3 linked regions of the Sus scrofa genome follow. The main gene of each other region encodes a partner of the protein of the gene in region 3 in a complex. Links are inferred from orthologs where the notes say so. Each region holds a gene or a part of one and is shown on either strand. Other genes may lie near its edges. The genes, in order: TNFRSF13C, TNFRSF17 and TNFSF13B.

Region 1 (9,487 bases), on a different chromosome or scaffold from region 3:
GGCCCCGGGAACTTCTACATGCCACAGGCACAGCTCCCCACCCCCCAAAAAGTTAATAACCTTGACCTAAGAGCTATGTTAATGGAAAACACACTTGTGGTTGCCAAGAGGGAGAGGGAGGAGGGGGATGGACGGGGAGTTTGGGGGTGATAGATGCAAACTATTACCTTTAGAATGGATCAGCCATGGGGTCCTGCTGTACAGCACAGGGAGCTAGAGCTAATCACTTGGGTTAGAACATGATAGAAAATAATATGGAAAAAAGTATGTGTATATATGTATGACTGGGTCACTTTGCCATACAGCCGAAATGGACGGAACATTGTAAATCACCTATAATGAAGGTTTTTGTTGTGTCTTTTTTTAAGGAGCTATGTTAAAAAAAAAAAAAAAATACATTGAGGAGGCGTGCCCTTCGTGGCTCAGTGGTTAATGAACCCGACCAGCATCCATGAGGGTGCAGGTTCGATCCTTGACTTCGCTCCGTGGGTTAAGGATCCGCCGTTGCTGTGAGCTGTGGGGTAGGTCACAGACACGGCTCGGGTCTGGCGTTGATGTGCTCTGATTCGACTGCTAGGGAACCTCCATATGCTGCGGCTGTGGCACTAAAAAGACAAAAAAAACAAAACAAAAAAAAAAAAAAACTTGAGGAATAACCTGACTTTTACTACATTGGTCTGAGGGTGAAATTTCTATTCTTCACTGCTAAGCTGTGGAAGTGGAGACTCGAGCACTCCCCCCTTCCCTATTTATTATTTATTTATTTATTATTTACTTATTTATTTATTTAGTCTTTTTAGGGCCACAGCCGCAGCATATGGAGAGTCCCCAGGGGTCGAATCAGAGCTGTAGCTGTGACCTACACCACAGCCACATCAACACCAGATCCGAGCCATGTATGTGACCTACCCCCACAGCTGCAGCAATGCCGCATCCTTAACCCATGGAGTGAGGCCAGGGATCGAACCCTCATCCTCATGGATACTGGTTGGGTTCGTTACGGCTGAGCCACGACGGGAACATCCCCCCACTTCCCTATTTAGAAGGTGCAAGTGGAAGGTCTGTCTGGAGTCAGGTGCCCCACACACCATCAACACCAATCCTGCTGCCCACTCTGTGCTTGGCACTGCCCACTGCAGGCACTTAGGAGGCACTGGTAAGGGTGAAAGTGGAGCCTCTCTGGTTCTCCCTCCAGGTGGCCGGTATAGAGGTGGCTCCTGTGAGTGGCCTCCCCTCTCCCGGGGACAGGCTCCCCCTCCAGGGTCCCAAGACCCAGCCCACTTGGCCTGAACATCTGGCTGGGGGTGAAGAGATGCCGCATGTGTGGTAAGGGCCCTGCCGCCCTGAGGGTCGCGGGTGAGAACAGGACCAGTAGCGATGGGGGGGGGGACAGGGGCCCAGTCTTTAGGCCTTGCCCCCACCCCTCTGCCCTAAGGAGGCCCTTCCCTGCCTTGGCTCCTGGCAGGCCCCTGGCTCCCCCACCCCCTCACCACACACCCCCACTCACACCCACACCCACCGCCCCGGACCCACTTCTCCTTTGCAGTTGCCCCACCGCCTACACCTTCCTGCTACGGAGTTGCTGGCCCGTGGGCAGGGGACGGAGAGGCAGTGGGCCAGGGCGGCTCAAGGCCAGCCGGCTCGAGGTTCTGTGTGAGTCCTCGTGTCCTCGGAGCCAGAAACCTGGGGGCCGGCCTTGCTCCCCTCACTCCATAGCATCACTCCTCCCTCCTAAACAGCTGCTGGCTGCTCCCTGGCCCTGAGTCATGGGGGAGCCTCCTTGCTACTCCACTCACCCTGTCTCCAACCCCACAGCAGGGGGAACGTCCCTTCAAAGGCACAGCTCAGACCCTCTCCCCCACTCAGGTACCTCCTGGGGCTCCTCACTGCCCAGGGCTTATGGCTTGCGGCCTGGCCCGCCCAGCTGCAGCCTCAGTCTCTCTCCCTCGGCAGCACCTCTGGAGGCAGGGGCCAGGCCTGTCCCCAGAGTCGGCTTCCACTTTCCCAGCTCCTGCTTTTGCCCTCTGCCTAGAAGTTTCCCCTCCCCTCTGAGCTGCTGAAGATCTACTCCAGCCCCTAAGCCCCCTCCGTGCCCCAGGGACTGTCAGTCCTTCCGCTGTACACCCCCAGCCCTGAGTGCCCCAGGGTCTGGCCAGGCCCACCATGAGGCTCTAAGCCCGTGGTCCATGCTGAGGCTCTCTGCCAGCCCCTGCCCCGGGGGAGGGGGCAGCGGAAGTCCAGGAAGGCCCAGGGGGCTTGAGTGTCCGCCTGACACTCAGTGTGAGAGACAGGTGGGGCTTCCCCAAACACTGGCGAGTGGAGACACACAGAAGAGGCCCCACAGAGACACAGGCGAGCAGGCCAGGACACACACAGCCCTGGGAGGAGGAGGTGGGGTGGGTGGGCTGCCCACTTAGTGCCTACTGGGCCTGGGTCTGTCTGCTCATCTGTTGATCTGAGCCTCCCTCCTGCTTAGGATCTGGAGACCGAGCTGCCCCCGGTCTGTGCCCTCCACTCCAGCCAGCGGTTCTGACTGTGTCACTCCCTGCATGGCTCTCAAGTGCCCTTCTGGCCAGAATCCGAGCTTCTCTCAGTTAAGGCCCCAGCCCGGCCCTCTGGTTCCAGCATTCCCTGGCCTTCGTATTTGGCCCCCAGGCCCCTTGCTCACCCTGGGTGCCCCCCGCCCCCTGCGACCTCAGTTCAGCCAGCAAACACCTTATCATCTCCTCCACAAAGCCTTCCCGTGCCCTGTGGTACCACCTTCACTGATGCCATGCTGTGAGGTGTCGTCTCCCCCATCACCACCACCAGTGTGAGTCCCCTGGGGCTTGGTACCATGTGGGGGCCCTCAGGATGTCTTCGATGAACTGACCAGCTCTGCGGGAGAAGGGCAGGAGAGCTTCCCAGAGGAGGCAGCTGGGGGGAGATGGCTGGTGGGGAGCACCTGGGCCTATGGGCTGGCCTTGGGGGGCAGGGCAGAAGAGGCCTCCCCGAGGTCTGTGTCCTCTTCAGGGACCCATCCTCTGCTCCCCAAGGGCGGGCCCTTGTCTGAGCCCCAGCCTTGTCCCAGTGCCCAGCAGGGAGCCCGCCCCGTGGTTGTCTGGGGGTGATGGTTGAGTGGCTGAATGGAGGAACCACAGATAGAAGGTCTGGGGTGCTGAGGCCCTGGCTAAGAGTGGTCCCACCCCGTCCCACCCCAGCAGGCAGGAGGGCGGGGCGGGGCGGAGTGGGTGGCGGCCCCTCCCGGTTTCTTCCCCGTGGGGCAGCAGAGGCCAGACTCTGTCCCGGCAGGGTGTGCAGACAGGCCTGGGCTTTGGCAGCATGAGGCGAAGGGCGAGGAGTCTGAGGGGCAGGGACGGGCCGGTCCCCACGCAGTGCCTGCAGACCCAGTGCTTCGACTTGCTGGTGCGCAACTGCGTGGCCTGCAGCCTCCTCCGCACGCCCGATCCTGGACCGGGTAAGCGTTACCCGGCTCTGGCCGTTGGAGCGCCAGGGCAGCCCTGGTGGAGGGAAGGAGGGTCCTGCCACCGAGGCTCGTGCCCCGCCAGAGCCGCAGGCATGGCCCGCACCTGCCCAGGACCCGGGCTGGGGCATCAGTTAACGGGGGGCTGTGGGCTGGAGCCTGAGTGGCTCAGCCATGCGGGCTGCGGGCTGGAGCCTGCGCGCGGCCGTGGCCCCTCCTGCTCCCCCCCCCCCACCGGCTGTCCCTCCCCTCCCGTCCCAGCCTCTCCTCCCTCCGACCTTCCCCTACCCTCTCTTCCCTCCCCTCTGCCCCTGACCTCCCTCTCCGTCCCCTCCAGCAGGCGGCCCGAGCAGCCTGGCTCCCGGGACGGCGCTGCAGCCGCAGGAGTCGGTGGGGCCCGGGGCCGCCGAGGCCGAGGCCGCGCTGCCACTCCCGGCGCTGCTCCTGGGCGCCCCCGCGCTGCTGGGCCTGGCGCTGGCCCTGGTCCTGCTGGGCCTGGTGAGCTGGAGGCGCCGCAGGCAACGGCCCCGCGCCTCGGCTGCCCCGGAGGCCCCGGAAGCCCTGGACGGAGACCAGGACGGTACGTTCCCCGTCTAGAGGAACCGAGAGGCACTGTCCAGCCCGGGAAGGTCCGGCCCTGGGGGACGGGGGCCGTCGGAGGGGACACATGGCCCTGGCGGGCTAGGGGCCCTGGGAAGGGGGTCTGAAGCCAGGCAGATGGAGGGGGCGGCGAGGGGCGCCGTCTGAGATCTCAGGCTGAGCGGGGAGCAGCGGCCCTGCCCAGGGTCCCGGCCTGGTGAGCGCCTGAGTGAGGAAGACGCGGGCTGGGGGCCCGGGGGAGGGAGGGGTCGTCCTGCCCTCGCTCCGGGAAGGCCAAACTGACCCCCACGCCTCCTCTCCCAGTGTCAGCACTGCCACTGCGCAAACCCTCCCAGCACTTCCGGTCCCGAGGGCCCATCATGTGCCACCCTCCCCCTCCCCACCGCCGCCTAGGGGCTTCCTCGCCTGACTTCTCTCAGAAGTCGGAGGGCTCTCTCTCCGGGGAGGTTCCAGAAACGGGATGGCGGAAGGCTGTGACCCAATCCTGACCCTGCACCCCCCCACCCCCCAACCAGGGCCCCTGGATAATGACATCGTCCCCTCTCCTGGAACCCTGGATGCCACTGCTCCCATCTGGCTTCCACCCAGCGAAGACTCAGCCACCACCCCACCTGCCCACAGCGTCCCTGTGCCAGCCACGGAGCTGGGTTCCACTGAGCTGGTGACCACCAAGACGGCCGGCCCTGAGCAGCAGTAGCGATGGAGGGGACAGGAGGCTGCCCTCAGGCAGAGGCTTGGAGGTTGAATTCGGCTCCTCTCCCCTGGTCCCACCTGCTTCTTTACTGAGAGTCAAGCTGCTCCCGGGCTCATCCTGCAGAACTATAGGCGCTGCAGACACAGGGTTCGGACTACATGGGATCCTATGGCGTGTTCGCATTTGGCTTAAAATCAGACTATCTTTGGCAGCCCTCAAAGCCTGAGCTATGTGCCTTTGAGGGGTTGGGCACCCTGAGTAGGCGTTTTTCTTTAAGCATGGGGAAGCCACCATCAGCCAAAATGAATCTAGGAGAAGGATCAAGTGGGAGGATGCCTAATTTGTGGCTGTATGTTGTATTTAATACTTGCTCTCAGAGTCGTTCTGCTTTTAAACTGATGCCAATGACAGCAATGAGTAACCAACTGACCCTTTGGGATTTCGCACAAGGTAATTCTAAGAAATAGCCTGGATTGTCCTGATTCTTTGGCACCTGTACCCTAGGGTCAGCCCTGAGTTTGACCCAACCTGCTAGAACTTACGATGCCAGCTTTACCCTGGTGGCCGCTTCCAGAACCCCAGGCTCACACTTGGGAGGAAGTCTACAGCTTCTGGGGCTGGACTGCAAATTCACACCGAAGGTACCCTGGCAGGCCTCTCCATCAGAGACCACCTGGAGTCCTAGCCGCCTCCAGAGCACTCTGAGCTGTACACAGGGCAGGGCCCAAGACCTGCAGGAGGCTCTTTTGTTCAGAGGCCAGGGCAGGCCTGTAGCCTTGAACCAGCTGGACCTGATATCCCTTGAGCTCCCTTCTGTGGCCTGTCCTCCTCAAGTGCTCAGGTCACTTGGCCATTCTGTGCCAGCTCCCTGCAGTCACCCATCATCCCAGTGGAACTGTTCCTCGGACACTGGTGCCCCTTGCCCTGGAGAGTGGAGCTGAGACCATCTCTTCCAGTTCTGGACCACACTGTGAACTCAGCTGGCCACTGACTCTCCTGCTGGCCCTCCTACACAGAGTTAGAAACAGTTGACCCGGACTTCACCCTGGACAGTGCCATGGAACTTGTCACAGTTTAGCACCCCCGGAAGGGGCACTGGACGGCGAGTCAGAAGATGGGACCCTGGGTACCAGTTTGTTCCACTTGTAGGTCCTTGACCCTGTTCTGTTCTGCGCATCCGATGCTTTCTGCCCGCCTCTCCCTGACCTGCCTATCAGAGCTGCCCAGCAGATACCCACCTTGCCTGCCCACCCCTTTCCCAGCTCAGAAGAGTCAGCAGTCAGCAGTCAGCAGCATTTGCAGCCTCGAGGACCACCTCTCCCTCCTGAACCCGGCTCAGATGTCCCCCGCTCCCTGGCTGCCAGGTGGCTGGGGTGAGGTCAGGGTGGGCGCAACAGGCAGGACAGTGGGAGGCAGGCCCAGAATGGGCCCATCTTTCCCCTTCTCTCCATCTCAGGGTTGGGGAGCAGTCTGAGTTGTTCCCGGCCATGCCTGTCTCCCACACCATCTTTTCCACCGCAGCCGGGGGTGGGGGCACCTGGAGGTGAAACAAGTGGGTGAAACCCCCCTGGGGCCCAGACATGCAAACCTCGGGCACCACTGTGTGCCCACTGAACCCCTGGTCTGGTCTCAGTTTCCTTTTAAGAAAAATGGGGGGAGGGGGATACAAAGCTCTCCTCCTGGCCCGTGGCTCTCCCAGGAGGACTGGGAGGGAACTCGAGAGAGCACACACTCCCCCTCCATTTTGCAGATGAGAAAACTGAGGCCCAGAGAGGGGGCCTCATCCAGCGAATCGCAGAGGGCAATTCCCTGGGGAGGAACCAGGAGCAGAGGCCAGGGGATGGGTGGACAAGAATGGGGTCTGTCTCCCCTAAAAAAGCCCCACCTCCCAGAGGCCTCCATTTTCTAGCCCTCCATCCTGCCCTTGCTTTCTAAAGAACCTTCTGGAAGTGAATGTATTTGGTCTTCACAACAGGAGGAGGGGAGTGGGTACTTGTGTTTGCTTTTTTAAAAAATGACTTTTATTAAAAGAACAAAAAGTTGAGATGTGTTTTGTAGACACTTTGGAAAGTTCAGGATGGTAGTCCAGGGTGGAGTCTTTCGGGAAGTCACCCCAGATTCAGAACACCAGGGTTGAGTAACCATTCTATACATGGAAATTCGTATCTTGACTATCATATTTGCTGAATTTTGTCTTTAAACCAAAGTTTTCATTTGTAAACTTTTCCACTTGAGTGTTTTCGACCTCTGCTATTGTAACTGAGGCAGTAGCACCTCTTTAAACATAAATCTTTGCCTGAGTCTGTTTCCCAGAAGGAGAGTAATTTCAGCCACAGGCCTTGACTTTTTTTTTTTTTTTTTTTTGCTTTGCTTTGCTTTTTAGGGCAACACCTGCAGCATATGGAGGTTCCCAGTCGCCAACCTGCACCATAGCCACAGCAACGCCAGATCCAAGCCACATCTGCAACCCACACCAACAGCTCATGGCAACACTGGACCCTTAACCCACTGAGCGAGGCCAGGGATCGAACCTGAGTCCTCATGAATCCTAGTCGGGTTTGTTAACCGCTGAGCCATGAAGGGAACTCCAGCCTTGACCTTTTTTAAGGCCTCTGTTGGTCAAATTGCTTTCCTGAAAATCTGGACCGATTTACCTGCATGAGCAGGGACTATATGACCCATCTTGCAGATAGGCGAGAAGAGGCCCAGAGAGGAGAAGGGATCTGGCTCAAGATGCAATAAGCAGCGATGGAGCTGGCTTAGACCCGGACACCTGCCTGCCCGGAGGGTGGTCAGTCACTGGCCCAGGTGTTCTCCTTGGGAGCGACAGACTCCAGGCACTGAGTCCAGGCTTTCCTCTTTGTTTTCATCACTCCTCAAAGGCTTCCCTCCTGACTGGTCTCTTTCTGCAGTAACAGGGATGTAGGACAGACTGGAGGAGCTGCCTGTCGGGTTGGCAACTGAGGGACGCAGGCCCTGTTCTCTGGCCTGTTTCTGGCCAGTTTTTCCTGATCAAGGGTCAGGTTTCCCCACAGTCCCCGGGGTTTTGGCAGGTGGGGGCGGGGCTGGCTGGAGTCTCAGTTCCTCCTGGGGCTTCCTGCAGGCACCTCTCACTTCCTGCCGGGCAGCCCAGGCTCTGGGCTCAGGGTGGGGGTGGGGAGGCCCAGCTGGTGAGGCCAGGGAGGAAGGACCTGACCCCTAAGCTCCCTCTGTCTCAGCCAACCCTTGCCTCTGGAGGCCGGTAGCCTGTCTTTGGGCCTGTCGCCCACATTCAGATTGGAGCCTGGGCGTTCCCTTGTGGTGCAGCCCGTTAAGGATCTGGTGTTGTCACCGCAGTGGCTCGGGTCCCTGCTCTGATGAAGGTTCGATCCCTGGTCTGGGAACTTCCACATGCCTCAGGCGTGGCCAAAAAAACACCACAAAAGCAAAACAAAAAAACCCCTGGAGCCTGAAAGCCAACCAGCTGTCCAAGATTAAAGAGGTCCCATGGCAGGTGAGGTCTCCACGCCAGGAGTGCCTCCACCTCCTTCCTTTGCTGAGATGCAGACACTTTCTGCTCTGAGCCCCCAACCCTCAGAAAGTCCCTGGGAAGTTTCCCGAGGCTGGCCTGAGGCTCTGATCTCAGGAGTTACTGCTTATCTATTTACTGCCCCGCTGATCGCACCTGATCCCAGCACACCTGCTTTGGGCCAGGGCCATCCTGGTCAGTGCCAGGTGGTCAGCCTCAGGCTATGCCATTAGGTCTCAGTCCAGTGGGAGAGACAGAGCAGGACACAGTGACAGGGTGGGGTTATCCCCGCCAGGGCCAGAGAATGCCTCAAGCAGGAGGGGGACTAATTTAGCATTTAGAGTGCTTTGTCGAGCAGGAGGTATGCCCTGAGTCCTGCAGCGTTTTCCTGCTGGAATAGAGCAGAGAAGCCTTCCTGGCCCAGGGAACTGTGTGCAAAGGCGCAGAGCAGAGGGAACAGGAGAAAAGCCTGGAGAGTTGGGCACCAGGGCCCCTGAGTGCCAGAACCTTTCCTGGGGCCATTCCTGACCATTCACACAGGGCCACCCACTTCAGGGAACCAGGTGCTCCTCCAGCCCCACCCCTCGGTCCCACCCTTCACTGTCACCTCTGAGAGGCCACCAGACCCCTCTGGCCCTCCTCTGGGCACGGGGGTTGGGGGGAAGCTCACTCTCCTTTGCTCTGTTGTAGGTGGCTCAGGCCAGGTTCTCCCTCACCCAGAGCGGAAATCTGACCTCTCTCCAGCCTGTGCGGGCTCCCCAGCTGCCGGGTCCTGACCTGTGGGGGTGGGGGGATGGCAGGAACGACTACTCAAGGTCACACGGAGAGTGGAGGAGGAGCCAGGAGGACACAGACGCCCCTGTTCCCGGCCCAAGCTCTTTCCCGGGGAACTCCGCAGGACCAAGAAACTGTTCCGGGGGGGCCTCCACAGGGGTGCCGGGGCCCAACGGGCTTCTAAGCAACTCCTCACCCCCCTGAGCTGCAGAAATCTGAGGACCGATCCCGGGCGTCCTGCCCGGATCCAGGACCGTGCCAGCGACTCCAGGGCAGGTGAAAGTCTATCTCGGCAGCTCCTGCGGTCAATGGGACCCGCGGCACCTCGGCTGTCAGCCTTCAGACACCGGAAGGTGGGGCGGCGGGACGCAGAGGGCGTGGCTTGGGCGAGGGGCGTGGCTGGGGCGGGGTCCATGAGAGGGCGGGGCTGATGAAAGGGGCGGGGCCA
Region 2 (9,501 bases), on a different chromosome or scaffold from region 3:
ATCCTCTGCCTCAGTGCACCGGCCCTGACTTTTCTGCAGAATTTGACCGCACTTCCCATCCCTTCCAGAAACTCGCCTCGCTTGGCTGATAGGAAAGCTAATCTTTGTCCTTGCCCTCCTCTAATCATGCTTTTCCTGTGTCCTTTCCTGTCTCCCAAAGGTCATCATTTGGAAGGAGCCTGAGGGCGTGGCACCTGCTGGGACAGCCCTTTCAGCAACCGATTGTCCCACCCAGGCTGCCACATCTGTTGACCCCACCGCCTGAAACCCTGGAGGAATGGGAGATTCTGATGGATCTAACTTCAAACTTTTCCCTGGGCTCAAGCCCTTCATTAAAAAAACCCAAAAAACAAAAAAAGAGTTCCCATTGTGGTGCAGTGGAAACGAATCCCGACTAGTATCTTGAGGATGCAGGTAAGATCCCTGGCCAGACTCAGGAGGTTGGGATCCGGCATTGCTGTGGCTCGGATCCTGGGTTTCTGTGGCTGTGGTGTAGGCTGGCAGCTATAGCTGTGCATGGACCCCTAGTCTGGGAATTTCCATATGGTGCAGGTATGGCCCTAAAAAGACCAAAAAAAAAAAAAAAAAAAGTGGTTTTTAATTCTTGCATTGTATTTTATTATCTTTGTTTTAGTATTTATTATGTACTTTTCAAAAAATATGAAGAAGTATAGATAGCAGCAACAACAACCCCAAAAGAATAAGAGCAGGAAATTCTCTGGTGGCTCAGTGGGTGGAGGATCTAGCATCGTTAGTGCAGTGGCTCCAGGTCCTTTTCGATCTCTGGCCTGGAAACTTCCTCCTGCCAGGGGGTGACTAAATAAATAAATAAAAAGCATAATTTAAAAAAAAAATAGAGGAACACAGTAAATGCCAGCGTATCCACCATTCAGCTTAATAAAATTCGAGCAATACAGGTGAAGCCTCTTTTCCGTCCCTTTCCACTCCAGAGGTAATCACTCTCCTGAATTTGAAGTTTGTCACTTGTTTACTATTTACTTGAGTCCTGCATTTCTTTCTTTTCTTTTTTTTTTTTTTGTCTTTTTAGGGCCGCACCCGAGGCATAAGGAAGTTCCCAGGCTAGGGGTCAAATTGGGCTGTAACCGCAGGCCTACACCACAGCCACAGCAACACCAGATCTGAGCCATGTCTGTGACCTACACCTCAGCTCACAGCAACGCCGTGAGCGAGGCCAGGGATTGAACCTGCGTCCTCATGGATGCTCGTCGGGTTCATTAACCACTGAGCCACGACGGGAACTCCGAGTCCTGCATTTCTGCCTGACCTCTGGATATCTCTGTATGGGTATCTCTCAGTCAGGCAGAATATTAACTCGGGTGGTCCGTGTAGGAGCCCAGGCTTCGGTGCCTTCTTTGATGTGGCTATTGATTAACATGTGTGGCTTAAGGGCTCCAGGGAGTAACATCCCCACAGGCCTTGTTTACTCTAGGGAGTGTACCTAGGCCCAGATGGACATTAATCTCTAACCCCTGTGACTCAGTTTACGGGAAGAGAAGGGCAAAGAAACCATGAGACTTACGGGACATTTCCTCCCCTAAGACCCCTATTGGACAAGGACTGATAGAGGTAACTGGGCAAGGCCAGGGGGAGAAAACCACATCTTTTGGACCCCACATTGGTACCCCCCATCTTTAAGGGATAAAAACCCCCATAGGACAATAGAGAAGGGGGCTCTTCCTCCTCCCAGCTGTCCTGGGAGCTGTTTGCTTTCCTCTAATAACGACTTTGCTTGCTTGCTGCCTGTGTGTTCCTGAAGTTCATTCTCTGGCTTCATGAAGAACCCTGATCCTAGTAACTTCTTTCCGGCATCATCAGTATGGTTTAAAGCAAACACCTGTGGTTCCATTTAGGTGAAAAGGAAAATGCAGCGTTCCCATCATGGCTCAGTGGAAATGAATCCGACTAGGAACCATGAGGTTGCCGTGAGCTGTGGTGTAGGTCGCAGACACGGCTTGGATTCTGTGTTGCTGTGGCTATGGTGGAGGCCGGCAGCTACAGCTCCGATTCAACCCCTAGCCTGGGAACCTCCATATACCTCGGGTATGGCCCTAAAAAGCAGAAAAAAAAAAAAAGAAAAAAAAAAAAGTAAAGTGTACTACACCAACCAATCTATCTATCCACCTACAGAAATCCTTCCAGAAAGATCAATATCAGAAGCTGGCCAACAGAACACGTTGGCAGGCCTATCGGCAAACTCTGTGCTACATCAAAATATTAACTGATTATTTATGGATGCTACAACTATGCATAATTTTTCTATAGGCTCAACTGCTTTTTTTTCCTAAATTTTCAACAATAAAACATAGCTATTAATAATATATTAAAATATTATATTAATTTTAACATATTATTATTGTTATTGTTATGTCCCAAACCTATCTTCTGCCAATTTAATTTTTACCCTAGAATTCCGTATGTGTTGGAATTCTGGGATTCTTCCTAGGTTTATTTATGTATTTATTTTTGTCTTTCTAGGGCCGCACCCACGGCATATGGAGGTTCCCAGGCTAGGGGTTGATTGGAACTGTAGCTGCCAGCCTACACTACAGCCACAGCAACACCAGATCCGAGCCGTGTCTACAATCTACACCACAGCTCACAGCAACACCAGATCCTTAACCCCCTAAGCGAGACCAGAGATCAAACCTGCCTCCTCTTGGATCCTAGTCAGATTCATTTCTGCTGAGCCCTGACGCGAACTCCAATCTTCCTAGGTTTAAAACCTGGCAAGCGTGCTTGCTATTCCTTTCCTCTCACATTCTGTCACTTCTTACTATATTCTTTTGTAGTTGAGTGAATTTCTACCTCCCCTATTTTTGATTTTACTGCTATAGTTGCTTTATAATGTTGTGCCCATTTCTGCTGTACAACAAAGTCACTGAGTTAAACATGTGTATCCAGGAGGTTGGATCTAGTTCCCTGGGCTATAGTAGGACTTTGTTGTTTATCCATTCTCAATATAATAGTTTGCACCTACTAACTCCAAACTCCTACTCCATCCCATTCCCCCCGCCCCATCATCTTCCCTGTTAGATTTTAAGTTCTTAAAGGCACAGACCTTGTCTGGTCTCTCTCCCTGGGGCCCATCACACAGCATAGCTCACGAACAGATGCTCCGAAAATGGTTACTGAACCTTCTGCTTAATGTTTCAGGGTTGTCTACATCCTGTGACTGTCACCTGGCTGAGAAATTTCCTCTATAAATAAGGAGTTTCTGTTTCAGGTATGGTTTGCTCTGGGTAGGTATACTCCATCTCTTACGATACCCAAGACTCAAACTTTGAAACTGGAAAGAAACTGGAAGTAGTGTTGGTATTCAAATCCTCAGCCACAGACCTGGGCGTCAGCCCCCATAAGAACCAAGGCATCGACGCAACGTTCTTTTTTTTCCCCCTTGACATTCTAGCTGCTGTCACTACATTTTTCTGGGGAATTCTCGACGAGATTTTACGGGTCCTTCCATGCTGTTCTTTCTGTGGTTTCCTTGTTTCTTTTTGCGACCAAGTTCCAGATGGCTCAGCAGTGCTACCAGAATGAATATTTTGACAGATTGCTGATTGCTTGCAAACCCTGTCGCCTTCGATGCTCTAATACCCCGCCTGTAACGTGTCAGCATTATTGTAATACAAGTAAGTAATACTGCTTGAACAATTGTTCATTGTGTTGCTGAAAACTCGGCCTCCGTCCACTGTTTCGGAATAGAAATGTGGAGACAGAACTTGGGGCGAAGGAGAAAAAGACAGCTTTATTGCTTTGCCAGGCAAAGGCGGCCACAGCAGGCTAATGCCTTAAAGACTGCCCACCTTGGAAGGGGGCTAGGATGTGCTTTGATAGCTTCGGGAGTGGAAAATAGGGCAGAGATAAGGATCAGGATGGAGCCCAGCTTGCAATGTCTTTCAAAGCTAGTGGTCCTCCTTCTTCCCTGGAATGAAGACCGTTTCATCCAGTAGTGTTTCCAGGTGTTGGGGGTTTTAGTTCTGCACCGAGGCTCAAAGACATTGTTATGTATATTCCTTAAGGAGGAATCAGGACCCCGCCCCAAGGCTGCCCTGCTGTCTCTTGACAGCTCCTCCCTGGTCTCTGCATCCCCTCCCTTCCCTGATTAGCAGCTGCCCTTTGGAACTCAGGGAAGGTTAAGGAGGCTGGGGCTCATTTCCTAAAAACCAGAAAGGGAGGACCCCGAAAGACTTGTGTGCCCAGGACGGAGGACCCAGAAAGACTTGTGTGCTCAGGAGCCCCACAGCCTCTGCTCGGTTACAACTGGTGTGAGGTATTCTCTCTCTACTGACTATTTATTCAGAGCAGTAACATTCCGGGAAGGTGGTGAGATTTTCTGCATCAAAAAGAGTAAGAAAATAAAGCAATTATTTAAATGCCGACAGGAGCAAAGTAATTATTCAGAACTGAACCCGATTTCATTCAGCACTCTTAACCACAGAGGTTGTTTTTTTTTAAATCACCTCTCCTAATTAAGCATTATCTAGAATTTAAAAGTCAGTGCCAAGGCATTAGGGAGACTCAGAGAGAAAAAAACAACCTTTACTGGATGCGAATATGACGTTATTAGTTCATTCTCTCTCTGACATTTTTTTAATTCAGTGAAAGGAACAAATGTGATTCTCTGGACCTGTTTGGGCCTGAGCTTGATAGTTTCTTTGACAGTTTTCATCTTGATGTTCTTGCTAAGGAAGAGGAGCTCCGGACCACTGAGGGACGAACTTAGAAACCCAGGTTGGTTTGACTTTGATGGCCCATCTTTTGAAATCTGTTTCCAGGAGGTTGCGCTTGTGAGTTTCAGTTCGTTTTCATTTGTCCTGTTGAGCACCGGGTTTGGGGAGAGCCCTTTAGAGTGTGTCAGACGACAGTTATGTTAAAGGAAATTCTTGGAAGAAGGGAGCTTTCTCTCCGGTGTTTACACCCTCCTTTGCAGGTGTCAGCCTTCCCCACAGACATTCTTCCCTCGGTAATTACTCTTCAGAGGGACTGAGGCTTCCTTGGGGAACATCCTTCTCTCTGGCCGAAATTAGCACATGGATCAAATGTCATGCCACCTGAAACAGCGAGCCAGGTCTGCTCCTATCAGGAAAAATATATTTGGCAAGATCTGTGTCCATATTCTAATACAAATGTAAGTGTTTGCTTGAGGGACCATTTTACTGTTGAAAAATGGTAGAAATGAAGACCAGTTGCTCCTGGATTATTTCAGCAAGCATCTCAAAGATGATTATCTTTCTTAAGCAATAGAAAACCATCCCCAGAGAAATGACCATTCTACTTAAGGGCTTCTTAAGATAAATATATTTCTGGATTTCCCTTGTGATGTACTGGGTTGAAGATTCGGCTTTGTCATGGCAACGCGCCTTGGGTTCAACCCTGGGCCCAGGAACTTCTGTGTGCCTTGGGCACGGTCCCCCCCCAAAATTTTTTTTTTGGAGTTCCTGTTGTGGCTCAGTGATAACGGACCTGACGAGTATCCATGAGGATGCAGGGTTTGATCCTTGGCCCCTCTCAGTAGGTAAGGATCTGGCATTGCCTTGAGCTGTGGTGTAGGTTGCAGGCTAAGCTTAGATAAGGCATTGCTGTGGCTGTGGCATATAGACAGTGGGAACACTTAGCCTGGGAACTTCCATGTGCTGTGAGTGCGGCCCTAAAAAAATTTTTTTTTCTGTACCTTTGCCCATGGTTTGTTTATCAAATACTTTGTAGCTCTGCTCCATTTCCTTTTTTTTTTTTTTTGCCCTATTTCTTTATGCATGTATTTTCCATGCATAATCTGAAAAGCATCCACCTCATTTTCGTTTCAGTATACAGTGAGGAGAGGGAGGTGGCTGTTCCATGTCACTTACTCATTTGTCTTTTTTTACCTGGGGTTTGAGAGACAGGTAGGTGACTTTAAGTGTGATGTTTTGGAAGATGGAGTGACGTGACACGGTGGAAGGTTGGGAAGACAGTAGAACGTGCCTTCAGGGGCAGCCAGTGGGGACTCCTGCCTCATGGGGTCATGAGAGCTGCATTAAAAAAAAAGGAATTGGCCACAAAATGCTCTGTAAGAAAGGCATCTTTATTTTGAATTCTTTTTGGGGTTTTTTTTGGTCTTTTTAGGGCCACACCTGAGGCATATTCTGTCCCCAGGTTAGGGACAGAATTGGAGCTATAGCTGCAGCCTACAGCTCGAGGCAGCGCTGGATGCTTAAGCCACTGAGCGAGGCCAGGGATCAAACCCACGTCCTCATGGTTTATTACCACTGAGCCACAACGGGAATTCCCTATTTTGCACACTAGTGCATCACCTGAGACTGGTTTTGGTGTGCCTGCATATGGTAATTTGTCTTTCGTATGTGTTAAAGGGGTCAGTACCTTCATATGTCCAAGGGCCAAGGGGGTGAAAAACTAATGTAGTGGGGCTTCTGGAGGCTTCTGCAGTAGGGGAGCCTGGGCCCTGCTTGGAGTAGACAGGTGCCGTTGACTCCCATTTGTTCCCATGTAGGAATGTCCACTCCAAGTGGCCGTGGAGTTCCCATTGTGGCTCAAAGGGTTAAGAATCCGACTAGCATCCATAAGGATGTGGGTTTGATTTCTGGTTTCCCTCAATGGGTTAAGGATCCAGCGCTGCCACGAGCTGCAGCATAGGTCCGGACACGGCTCAGATCTAGAGTCTCTGTGGCTGTGGTGTAGGCTGCCAGATGCAGCTCTGATTTGACTCCCCAGCCTGGGAGTTTCCATATGCTATGGGTGCGGCTGTAAAAAGACCAAAAAAAAGAGGGGGGCCCAGTTGTTTAGATTTGTAGATTTGTATGTGTAATCTCTTGATTTTTTAAGTGAGGGTCACCATAAAACAGATGAGCAAACACTTAAAAAACCCTGCATTGCCCTAAACCACGCATGTCTTTGAAGCCAGTGTGGCCCATGGGCTGTCCGTTCACGCACGACTCTGGGGCCCTCTCATTCACTGAGTCATGAGAGATCCGCCTGGTGCTGCTCGGATCCCCCATGTGCGCTGCGAAGTCTGGCACGACCAGGTGCCCTGAAGAGTTCGGGTTAACAGTGCCGTTTCTGCGTCCTCAGGATCGGTTCCCCAGAAGGGTGCTGGCGCTGACCTGGGCAATGGCAGCGAGGGCCGGATGGGTGCGGAAACGCTGCTTTCGAGAGGCCTGGAGTACACGGTAGAGGAATGTACGTGTGAAGACTGTGTCCAGAGCGAACCAAAGGTCGATTCCGACCATTTCTTTCCACTCCCAGCCATGGAGGAAGGCGCCACCATCCTTGTCACCACGAAAACAAATGGCTACTGCAGCAGCCTGCTAGCTGCCGAGAGTGCCCTGGCATTGGAGAAATCAATTTCTACCAGATGATTAACGCACCGTTTCGATGGCAGAGAGCTACTTGGAAAGTCTTTTGTTGGAAGGAAAGGATGATGTGTCGTCTCTTTAGGACGCCTGACTCCTCGGTGGGTGGTATAGATCTTGGTCCTCTAATTCTGGAAAACCTTTATGTTTCCTTCCACCTTATTGATGGGAACTTAGCTGTGGAAACTTCGTCGGTTTCATGATTAAATTGACCATTGGAAAAAAAAAAGGCACCTCAATGCGTAGATCCCATCGTCACCCATTTCTATGCCGACATCACTTCTCTTCTACACACACAGACACACGTTTCAGGAGAGACTGGCTTTCTCTCTTTAGTGGGAAAGGGAAGCGAGGTTATCCTCCGCGCATTCTGTATGGAGGAGAACCTAGAGTCAGTCACACTAATTCCTTTTTTTTTTTTTTTTTTCTTTTTCAGCCACCCTCATGGCAAATGGAAGTTCCCTGGCCAGGGATCGAATCTGAGCCACTGCTGTGGCAATGCCAGTTTCTTCACCCACTGCCCAGGGGCCGGGATGGAACCGGAGGTTTCACAGAGATAAGCTGGATGGTTAACAGACTGCCTTATAGCAGGAAGTCGCCGGCCACACTCATTTTCTGTGTGCAGTGCATGGCCGGTTCCTGACCTTGTGAGCTTCCAGCTTAATGAAGGCATCAGGCATCATTATAATCAGTAGTACATGTGTAGTTGCAAATTGTGATAAAGGTGTATTAAGTGTCATTATTATGACCTAATGCACTTATCTGGCTTCCTAACAGCCAGGGATTGTTCCAAATGCTTTATCTGTATGCAGTCATTTACCACATACAACAAACCACAAGTTAGGGGGGCGGTTATTAGCTCCGTGCTACAGATGATAACAGAACTGAGTCAGATCAAGGCCAGCGAATGGCAGAACCAGATTTAAACCCAGACATTCTGCTCTATTCCTTTTTTTCTTTTCACATCAATTTATTTCCATTTCTGAGTTTCCCATCTCTTTGGGCTCCAATTTTAGTCATTACTGGGGGAGGGTTCCCTTCCTGGGGTTGTGTAAAAGTCCTGGGCTGTTATGGAAGGGCTGGTAATTTGCTTTTTTTTTTTTTTTTTTCTTTTGGTTTCCTTTCTTGACTGGTAATCTGCTTCCTCTGATCATAGGTAAGATGCCCACTGGCATCACAGCATAGACCTTCAAGGTCTTGGGGCTTTGTGGCTTTTGTGTCAGGTTAGGGATATGTGGAAACTTGGTGGGAACTCTGAACCCCAGGTGGGGTCCCTTCCAGGCCCTTGAGGGCCATAGGTGACAACAGAGTATAGTGATTAAGGCACTGGCTCTTAGAGTTTGAATCCTGGGTCTGTTACTAGGAAGTCGTAGACATTGGGAAACTTGAGAAAGTTACTTAACCACTCAATGCCTGTTTCCCCATCTATTAAATGGGCATAATAACAGTATCTACTTATAATATTGTTTTAAGGATTAAATGAAAACACACACACACACATTTGTATAAATAGATATTTTCCCCATAAAAGTACTTTGTGTTAGTTACATTGCCATCACAAATTTTTTTTTTTTTTTTTTTGGTCTTTTTAGGGCCACACCCTTGGCATATGGAGGTTCCCAGATGAGGAGTCAAATCAGAGCTATAGTCGCTGGCCTATACCACAGCCACAGCAAGGCGAGATCCCAGCCGCGTCTGTGACTTACACACAGCTCAGGGCAATGCTGGACCCTTAACCCACTTAGCGAGGCCAGGGATCGAATCTGCATCCTCCTGGATTCTAGTCAGATTCCTTTCCACTGAGCCATGGTGGGAAGAACACCATCACATTATTTATTAGTCCTTCCCTTTGAGGTCTAGTCTCCGAGGATAGGTGCACCCTTTTTCTATGATATGGCCTAGGAATATTGCTCCTAGCTTCTCACAAGCCGCCTTCCTTCTCCCCTTAGACACTCAGTGAGTTTCTATTTTTCAAAAGCCCAGAATAGCTGCTGACATTAGGTTTCTGACCTGGTCCTCCAGTACCAGGCTCAATCTCAGGAAGAAGGAATTACAATACTTTGAGTGGGTGGTAGAGAATGTAAGGCACATGCTACAGTCTCCGAACTCACTCGTCTCAAGTACCATGAAGAAC
Region 3 (9,613 bases):
TTTTAAAGAAAGAAAAAACAACACAATGAAATAAACCCTTCTTCAAGAGAGTTAAATCTCAGAACATTTATACTACAAATTGAGGACATATTTGCAAATGAAACTGAATTCTTTAAAAAGTGGATTTTTCCCCAAAGTGACAAAAATTAAGCTCTAGTAAATGCATACACACTCCTCTTTTGAATATAACTATTAAGAAATAGTTAAGTCTGCATTGCCAATCACTGACGTTATTTTTTGTATGAGAAATGACCAGAGTTGTCTATTTTAAAAACCATGTCATTACTTCATGGTCCAGTGACACAGAGTGACCAGCACTTAGCCTTCCACGCCAGGTTTCCCCTGGGCTCCAGTAGCAGATGACTGTGTACGTGTTTCTATCGGAAAACAGCATGATTTGTTTCCTGAAAGGTAATAACTATTTCTATCAAACTATTTTCTATTTTCGGAGCCCTCGAGGAAGCCAGTGTTGCCTGGGTCTATTTTTGCGTACCTCTGTATATCTAGGAGAGCCTTTGACTCCACGCTCGATTGGTCCAAATCCTTATGAAAGACACTGTTTTTCCTCCAAGACATGGGTATGGGAGTGATGTCCCAGACCAGCTAATTTTTCATAGAATGGTTAAGCCAGACATTTAAAATTAAGCTTCCAGAACAGTTTCGAGGTTGTCCATGTAAGAAGCAAGCCATCAGAGGGTAGGTATGTGTTTAATATTGATATTGCGGTTCAGTCCCTAGATAAATTCCTATCTTAAATGCTTTCCAAACATGCCTTCTCTCTGCCGTCTCCTGAGTGCCTGGGACAGGGACATGGCCCTCCATTTCTCTATGAGGCTTGCCTTAGCTCTGTCGTAGGAGAACGTCTGACACTCCAGTTGGGAAAGAGAGAACAGTTCTCTGGCAGGGCACCCTGGCTCAGGCAGGGCCCTGGTAACTGTGAGAGTGCCCGGCTCCTCCAGGCGTGTGGACAACATGGATGTGCTATGTGTTGGATAGAATTCCAGTTAAATTACTGTCCAGCCTTTTCCTCGGCAGGAAACAGATCCTTGATTTATGGAGGACCAACCTCCTTTGGTTCCTCTAATAAGAAATTCAAGAGCACATGCACTGCAGGCTGTTTTCTAGGCGTCTTCTGAGAACTTGAATTTCCTGATGCTGCAGAGGACATCCCGTGGCCGTGTCCAGGAGGGGCGGGGGAGGGGGAGGGAGGTGGTGCCAGCAGCCACCTGCCTTTGGAGGGGCAGCACTGGCCCTGTCTCTGCTGGGGTGCCCCCTGAGGGTCCGAGACTGGCTCCTGGCACCAAACTGGCTGCAGGCTGGCTGCTCAGCAGCTTTTCCAGGAGAGCAGCGAAGGCGGAGGTCATTCCCTAAAGCGCGCCATTCCCCTTGTCTTCAGAACTTTCCAGCAGAACACGGAGAGGGGTGGCCTGTCAGGAGGGAAGAATGTCCAGGCTCAGAAGTGCCCAGTGGCCTCCCGTGTCCCGAGTCAAAGAAGAGAGTAATCGATTTCCAGCACGGCCTTGAATTCTTTGATCTCTCCAGGTGCTTCGTTACTGTAACACACGCACGTCTAATCTGGGCGAAGTTCAGTTACTTTCGTTCATGAAGGTAAATCCCTCAACTCATCCTTTTTTCAAAAAGTGGCCTCTTACCTAGTGTCCGTCATGCTGATGGACCCGGAAACGAGGACTGTCACAAAGGCTCGGATGACACCAAAGAGCGGGCACGCTCTCTTAGAGAAGACTGCCACTTGAGAGAGGACAGGGCAGCTCACGCGGGTAGGGGAGACCAAGGGAATCACGAAAATAATTTTTTTTTCATTTTTAAAGTTTCATTGGAGTCGAGTCGGTTGACAAGTTTGTGACCATTTCTGCTGCACTGCAAAGTGACTCAGTCCGACGTGCACACACAACCACTCTCTTTCGGATTCTTTTCCCACAGAGATGATCCCAGAATATTGGGCAGAGTTCTCAGTGTTCGTGTGCCGATCAGTTACCCCCCTCCCAGAGTTCTCGTCGTGGTTCAGCAGAAACGAATCTGACTAGGATCCATGAGGATGCAAGTTCGATCCCTGGCCTTGCTCAGTGGGTTGGGGATCCAGCGCTGCTGTGAGCTGTGGTGTAGGTCACAGACGCAGCTCGGATCCGATGTTGCTGTGGTTGTGGTGTAGGCCAGCGGCTGCTGCTCCCATTCAACCCCTAGCCTGGGAACCTCCATATGCCAAGGGGGAGGCCCTAGAAGACCAAACATTTTTGTATTTTATTTTTAAAAAAATTTATTTTAAAAAGTCTTGGGACTGCAGATGCAAAGGAAAAAAATAACCCCAACAGGTAAAAATGAGTAAGTCTGACGACATCATACTCGGAGAGATGAGGAGGAAACAGGCAGTCCTGAGAGATACCTCAGAGACAAGGTCAAGGTGACCAGTCCCTGTTCTCCAGCAGGTGTGTGCCTGGGAAACCCTGGCAGCTGTTGCATGGGCGCAGGCATAAAGCCGTCTATTGCAGCACTGTTTGTAATAATGAAAAAGAGTTCGTGTTCTGGATAAATGAAACACACATTCATTCATAAAATGTATGAATGAAATATATCTCACATAATGAATGAATGAATGGATGGAAATGAGTGAAAAATGGAGGGTCTTAAAGGCAGCTTGTTCCACATTCCTCTAAGGCTCCTTACAACTTCTCAGGGCCGGTTGTCACCCCATCTAACAGATGAGAACACTGAATCTCAGGTGGGATTGGTGTCCTAATAGGCACGCCACATCCAGCAACAGAGATTTGAAACTAAAGTCCCTCTGGGTCGAGTTGGGGTGTCCTACAGACCCATGAGATGGGGACAGAGTCAACCTCATGTGGCCAAGCAGATACGCTGCTTTAGGGGAGGAGCAGTTAGTGGCAAGACCCAGGCTTCTGGAGCTGAGATAAGGCAGAATCTCCCCCAAATGTGGTCAGACGGAGCCAGGACATGCAGCCCCAGGAGTGGGGACAGCAGAGGTCGGACCGCTCCTCAGAACTGGCCGTCCTCTGGGGCAGCGGGTCCAGAAGGAGGAAGATTAGGCAGGCTTTTCTTCAAAATGCCTTTAAAGAATCCCCCGTGTCTACTCTCAGCAGGGCTCCCAAATTCAGGCACATCCTTTTTCTTCAGTTGCTAAGATGATAACATGGAAAACATTCCCCAACGGACTTTCATGCCTCCTTGGAGGAGGCTTCGTTTTATTTCCTACTTAAGGACTGTTAATAAATCACTCTCTGGCTGAGTACAGTTGAACGCTGAAGCACTTAGCTTATCTGACCTTCGCATTAATTATTTTTATTACCCAGCAGGAACTTATGAAAGCTGCCCCCCCTTTCCCTGTAAAGCCAAGTGGCCCCAAGCGAAGAAGCCAGGTCTCTCCTGGTGCCTGAGAGGGAGCTCCTTAAACACCTCCGGCTCTGAAAAGCTCTGCTGGAGGGTACTGGTCCGAACCCCCAGTTCCTTCCAATCAGTAGACGCCAGGCACCCGTTTGTGCCTGAGGACCCAGTGATGCCATTGCAATTCTTACAAAAACTGAAAGTGAAATGAGGAAGACTGATTGAGCAATCGGATAGAAGGGCGAATGCCAGGAAGACCTAGCGTACAGTAGGGGCAGAGATGCAGCGGGGCAGAGGGGAGAAAATTCAGGAGAACTCTCCTGAGGGCGAGCGCCGGGCTGGGCCGGGCAGTCAGTGCAGGACATCAACAAACACAGATAACAGGAAATGATCCATCCTCTGTGGTCACTGATTCTAAGGGCCCGAACCTTCAAAGTTCTAGGAGGGAAATGGATGACTCCACGGGGGAGCAGTCACGCCTTTCTTGCCTTAGCACGAGAGAAGAAATGAAACTGAAGGAGACGGTCCCCATCCTCCCCCAGAAGGAAAGCCCCTCTGTCCGCATCTCCAAAGATGGGAAGCTGCTGGTCGTGACCCTGCTGCTGGCCCTGCTGTCCTGCTGCCTCACGGTGCTGTCTTTCTGCCGGGTGGCCTCCCTGCAAGCGGAGCTGGGGAGCCTCCGGGCGGAGCTGCGGGAGCACCGGGCGGAGGGGCTGCCGGGCGCCCCCCAGGCGGGAGCCGCAGCCCCCAGGGCCGCCCCTCCGGCCCTGAAAGTGAGTCTGCGGCAGCCGCAGCCCCAGGCACGGGGCTCCCCCACGACCCACACGTGCTGGCGGTAACGTGGGGCTTTTCTCTTCCCAGGGGATCTTTGCACCACCAGCTCCAAGGGAGAGCAGCTCCATTCAAAGCAACAGGAGTAAGCGCGCCGCGCAGGATGCGGAGGAAACAGGTACGTCGGGGTCACGGAAGCCTGTAGGAGGCAGGGATCCCGTTCACAGGTGTGGAGGCGAGCATCGGACTGGGAGAGGGGAGCCCCGCAGAACCTGGAGACTTCCACGCTCACCGTCGCAGCCAGGAGCGGCGCGGGGGCAAAGCACCAGGCTGACAATGCATGTCTGAGCTCCAGGGAGCGGATTTTGTGGGGGCAGGTATTTATTTATCTGTGCGGCAGTTGAAGCGTAGAAGTGGGGAAAGAGGCTCACATCTCCCTGCAGAGAGTTCCCTTCTATGTCAGGAGCATCCTCCATCAGTTCAGGAGAAAAAGCACCACGCGCGAATGTAGGAAATTTTGTGAACCTGGTCAAAGAAAGGCAGCAAAAGAGCATCTCCTGGGGAGCGTAGCTGCTGTGCAGTCACATGGAGGTCGGTGGTGGGAGCAGGTGCATGGCTGTGCTTTATTTTGTTTCTTGCTTTTAAAAGAATAGAGCTCCTTCCACACACACACACATACACACACACACACACAGAGCTTTTCGAGCTTTTCGTTAACCGGAGCTTTCCCAGGAGATCCACACGTTTGTAATCTTATTGTAATAGTTCTTTAGAGATTTCTGACTCTCTTCCTGGTCTGTTCCACAGAATTGTGTGGATTCCCGAAACCTCAGATTTGGTGGGGCCTCCCCAGACATTCAGCTCTAGCTCCTTCCTTTCAAAGATGCAAAAGAGCATTTGCATTGCATTTACTTAGCATGCAATTTAATCCTTGATACTGTTTCCCTTCTGTATTGAAGGAAGGTTTTTGAGCCCCTAGAATGTGCCAAGCACGCTTGTACTTGAACGGGAATCGTCACACCTTCTGTTTCCTTTAACCTGCAAGGTGACTGCGAGGTGAAGTCACCGTGTGCAATTATGTATCCGTCTATGTGCTTCTAAAGAGAAGTGCGCGACCCGCAGATTAGCTTTTCTGGCACACGCACAATGCTGCTTCTGTAAGCGTGTTTTTCACGAAATGCCTTATTCATGGAAAAAATTCTTCCCTTATTATAAAAGCATACATTTTTATCTGGTTATCATATCTCCCAGCCAATTATCAGAAACAATTGGGTTTAAGCATTTTAAAACTAGGAAACATTTTTAGCATACTTTAACCCATCAATTGTTTTCAGATTTTGTATTTTATCACCTATGTTTTCTTACACACACATAGTTGAAAACTGCAAGCATATATGTCTTGGCATATTTTTGTGTTCACTTATTACATAAGCATTTTCCTTAGTTCTCAGTAATTCTCACTCATCTATATTAATTTCTTTGTTATCATTCTGTGATCATACGATCATTTCCAACTCTTTTTTTTTTTTTTTTGGCTATAGCAGAACATGCCACAATTTTTGTGCAGATCTCTTTGTGTCTGAGGAATTATGTGCATATTATTCAACATAAATTCCATAGATGAAATGTCTGAGCCAGAGGATAAACACCTTTAACACTCTTGCTACCTGTTGCCATGTTGCTTTCAAAATGAATCATAAGTGCGTGCAGTCAGAAACTCCGTGTACAAGTTCTCCGCATTCTGACAGCATTTTATCTTTAAAATGTGTTTGGGCTAGTTTGGTAGTTGCAAAACAGTGCCTCAAATTTAATTTGTTGCTTGCTGACAAATAAGAATTAACTTCTTTCCACATATTTTGATAACTTCTAATTTTATCTTCTGCTGATTTTTATTTATAACTTCCCTCACTTGTCTGTCATATTTTTAAAACAATTCTGAATAAACTCTATATTTGACATATTACTTATCAAAATTTTGATGTAAATATTTTCACAACATTTTGCTGTTTTTTCAAAAACTTGTGCAGAGATTTTGCATCTGTGTATTTTAATGTGAAACACTTGTCCTTTTGATTTCTCTATCAAAGCTAAAATACATTTGTTCATAATCTCTTAAGCAGTTTATTGTTTCCTCTGCCATTTTGACTTTTTTATAATTTAGTGTTGTAGCTTGGTATTTAATCCATTAACCTTGGAGTTTATTTTGGTAGGTCATGTCATACTGGCCTTAACTTCCCCTTTCTTCTTTTACTTTTCCCTTCCAAACTCTTGCTAAATATCTCAACCAAATTAATTAGATGATTCTTTTTAACTCCTTTGGGTTGGGAAGCTTCCTGTATTAAGTTCCTCATATATAGTCGAATCTACTTTGAGATTCCTTTTTTCATTGATTTTTTATCCTATCTATCTGTGATAAATAAAATATTATAAGTGATTTTATAATATAATGAGCTTCAATATCTAGTAGGGTGAGTATGCCTCAATCTTCTTCAACCTTCTTAGCTACTCTTCCCCTGTCTCTAAATATTATTATTAAAAATAAACCCTAACTTCCCAATTCCAAAGAGGATATAGACGCATTACAGCAGATTTAAGAAGAAAAGAATTAAGTAAGAAATCAATTATCCGCAGAGTTCCCATCGTGGCTCAGTGGTTAATGAATCCGAATAGGAACCATGAGGTTGCAGGTTTGATTCCTGGCCTCACTCAGTGGGTTAAGGATCCGGCATTGCCCTGAGCTGTGGTGTAGGCTGCCGGCTACAGCACCGATTAGACCCCTAGCCTGGGAACCTCCATATGCCACAGGTGCGGCCCTAGAAAAGACCAAAAAAAAAAAAAAAAGAAAGAAATCAGTTATCCCCAGAGTTGCACTCCCCCCCCCTCAAATCTTCTGTTAATATTTTAAAATCTCCTCTAGTGCAAGTTTTTTCGTGTTGGTGTTTCCATGGCATCCAGAAATTGTATACTGACAAAAAATTTTCCCCAAATATTTGCAACTTTGAGAAAGTTTGGAAAATAGCAGAAAATTCTAACCAATGAATAAAAATTTACCCAGTTTCTATATCCCAGATATAATCACTGTTGTCATTATCATAGTTTGCCCCAGATTTTTATAAACCTTGAATGTAGCGTGTCTGTGGTGTATATGTGTGTGTATTGTATATACCATGTGTGTATGTGTATGTGTGTATAGTACGTAGCACACATATATTTCCTCCTATCTCTATATCTCTATGAATATCATAACATTCGTAGACTCCCAGATGAAAGGTGTGAAGACCAGAGCCTTAGTGGCAGGTAATACCGGCTATGCCTTGCCAGTGAAATTGGCCTGAGTGTTATTTTAGACACTGTTCTCTGGTGCAGGGAAAAATCCGTTTTGTTTAGCACTACTCCAAAATTAATGGCTCTCTCTATATGAATCTACTACATATACCAAAAGATTGTCTGAAATTCTATTTTTGTTTGTTTTCTGTTTAGTAGGGTTGTTTTTTGGAATTGAGAAAATGCAGAAATGCAGTCTGAATCTATGCAACTTTCTTTGTTTTTTGTTTCCATTCTCGTTGTTATGGTTTATTTTAAGTAAAACTCCCTTTTATCTTCAAAGTGTTAGTTTCCATTTTATTTCTTGACTTTCTATATATGTTTATACACACTTTGTTGCATTTCTATTAAAACTATAACTCTGAAGAAAATGAATTTTCACCCTGTTGAATTTATATATTCAAGAATTTCTAATGTCTATTAAATATAGAATTTTAAACTTTACAGGACAGCTTTTCTTATGTAGTTCCTTATAGTTTCTTTCATAGTTAACCTAAAGACATTTTATTGCTAGTTTGAAGTCTTAGCATTTTCAAATAGCTTGTTAAACTGTTAAAAGCATATGGAATTTTCAGTAAATTATTCAGTATTTGATCTTAGGCTTATTTTTTAAGCCAAATCAGCACACTTGGTGGATTTATGCTTAATAGAATTATAATATTGTCCTAGGCTTTTCTTTCTCTTTTGGCTGCACCCACGGCATATGGAAGTTCCTGGGCCATGGAGGTAATCCAAGCTGCAGCTGTGATCTATGCCACAGCTGTGGCAACACCAGGTCCTTAAACTGCTGTGCCACAGTGGGAACTCCTATTCTAGACTTTCTTTTTTTTTTTTTTTTTTTTTTTTTTTTGCTGCTGTGCCTGAAGCATTTGGAAATTCCTGGGCCAGGGCTTGAACCTGTGCCATAGAAGTGACTAGAGCCACTCCCGTGACAACACCCAATCCTTAACCCACTATGCCACAAGAGAACTCCTATTCTAGAATACTCTGCTTTCTATATTTACTCCTTAATGTCAGTGTGCCATCATTTTATAACTGTGTCAAAAAGGTTCATAACTACACATTGCTAAGTAAGACACCGGAATGCTACGCATTCTTAATTTTCTATAAATCCAAGCCAGATTTCCCCAGGCGCCTCGATTTTACTGTGTGTATGTTCCGCGTGTAAGTAAATTCCAGCATGTTGTGGGCTAGGAAGCCTGACCTCCCCAGCACACGGCAAATCTAGTTATTGCATCAGCCCTCAGTACTTCCCACACACTACCCAGGAAGGTTGTTCTCTTTCCATTTGTGTATCTCCCATCTGTACAGCTAAAGGGTCCAGACGTCTGTGGTCCAGCCCTGTTTCCTTTGTGCACGTTCATCCTGACACGCGCACCCTGTAGATAATTCTGTGAGTGTGTGTTGGTCACTTTGGGGCGCCACATCAAATACGAAAGAATGATTTGGGAATCACTGGGCATCGCTGTGGGGAGGGGAGGGTTTCCCCCTCTTTCTTCAGTGGTCAAGTTATGATCAAAGGTCGTCTTATGAAATTTTTCAACTTGATATTTAAAACAACTAGTTAGCCAACGAATGAGCCTAATCACAAGGCTAGAGCTGCAGGACGGTCTGGAAACCCCTTGCTTCAGACTCTCTCAGTGCCCACCAGGTGTAGGCACAGTTTGGATCACTGAAAAGTCAAGAGAAGCTCTTATGCTCAGCAACTTTTTAAACTATAATTTCACGGATTTCTAGTTTAATGGGTTTTTTAAAATTTTAATTGACATGCTATTTGCATACACATGTGAACACATGGGAAAAGAACACATGTGTCCAGGACCTGGGTTGATGAAATTCGCAAGCTGAACGGCAGCCGATGAAAGGCAGACATCACCGTTGTCACCGGTATTCCTTGCAGTCCCCCCCCCAGGGGTAAATGTGCTGCTTTAATTTAATTCTAGAATTCGGTACCATGGCTCCAGTTTTATTTTTCTTACTTATGTTGTGTTTCAAATGAGAGCCTTAGTAAGTTTCTTGTGTTTCATAAGATAATTTCTGATCATAGTATAACAAACAGAAATGTGGGGAAATCCAGAATTAAAATTGCCAAATGGCTTATAATAGCCAAAAATTCACTTTCAAGCCCATGAGTGTATTTGGAGGTAGTCCCAATTAAAAA

Evidence for each region.
Region 1: the proteins of TNFSF13B (region 3) and TNFRSF13C are in contact, whole or in part, in a crystal structure (PDB 1OQE), measured with the Homo sapiens proteins. The link is inferred for Sus scrofa from reciprocal best matches to the Homo sapiens genes TNFSF13B and TNFRSF13C. Residues at the interface, in NP_006564.1 of Homo sapiens: Ser162, Tyr163, Asp203, Thr205, Tyr206, Ala207, Met208, Gly209, His210, Leu211, Thr228, Arg231, Cys232, Ile233, Pro264, Arg265, Glu266, Asn267, Ala268; in NP_443177.1 of Homo sapiens: Asp26, Leu27, Leu28, Val29, Arg30, Val33, Leu37, Leu38, Arg39, Pro41, Arg42.
Region 2: the proteins of TNFSF13B (region 3) and TNFRSF17 are in contact, whole or in part, in a crystal structure (PDB 1OQD), measured with the Homo sapiens proteins. The link is inferred for Sus scrofa from reciprocal best matches to the Homo sapiens genes TNFSF13B and TNFRSF17. Residues at the interface, in NP_006564.1 of Homo sapiens: Ser162, Tyr163, Lys204, Thr205, Tyr206, Ala207, Met208, Gly209, His210, Arg231, Cys232, Ile233, Glu238, Pro264, Arg265, Glu266, Asn267; in NP_001183.2 of Homo sapiens: Tyr13, Asp15, Ser16, Leu17, Leu18, His19, Ile22, Arg27, Ser29, Ser30, Asn31, Thr32, Pro33, Pro34, Leu35.

Annotation. Positions count from the first base shown.
Region 1 is NC_010447.5:6,696,603-6,706,089, forward strand, and holds TNFRSF13C (tumor necrosis factor receptor superfamily member 13C), read left to right. Parts: upstream 1-3,223; 5' UTR 3,224-3,321; coding exon 3,322-3,457; intron 3,458-3,800; coding exon 3,801-4,043; intron 4,044-4,578; coding exon 4,579-4,760; 3' UTR 4,761-6,801; downstream 6,802-9,487. UniProt on the Homo sapiens protein: B-cell receptor specific for TNFSF13B/TALL1/BAFF/BLyS. Promotes the survival of mature B-cells and the B-cell response.
Region 2 is NC_010445.4:31,135,767-31,145,267, reverse strand, and holds TNFRSF17 (tumor necrosis factor receptor superfamily member 17), read left to right. Parts: upstream 1-3,405; 5' UTR 3,406-3,532; coding exon 3,533-3,650; intron 3,651-4,620; coding exon 4,621-4,752; intron 4,753-5,726; exon of another isoform or gene 5,727-7,086; coding exon 7,087-7,373; 3' UTR 7,374-7,596; downstream 7,597-9,501. UniProt on the Homo sapiens protein: Receptor for TNFSF13B/BLyS/BAFF and TNFSF13/APRIL. Promotes B-cell survival and plays a role in the regulation of humoral immunity. Activates NF-kappa-B and JNK.
Region 3 is NC_010453.5:75,595,952-75,605,564, forward strand, and holds the start of TNFSF13B (tumor necrosis factor ligand superfamily member 13B), read left to right. Parts: upstream 1-3,794; 5' UTR 3,795-3,806; coding exon 3,807-3,986; coding exon of another isoform or gene 3,987-4,130; intron 4,131-4,218; coding exon 4,219-4,306; intron 4,307-9,613. UniProt on the Homo sapiens protein: Cytokine that binds to TNFRSF13B/TACI and TNFRSF17/BCMA. TNFSF13/APRIL binds to the same 2 receptors. Together, they form a 2 ligands -2 receptors pathway involved in the stimulation of B- and T-cell function and the regulation of humoral immunity.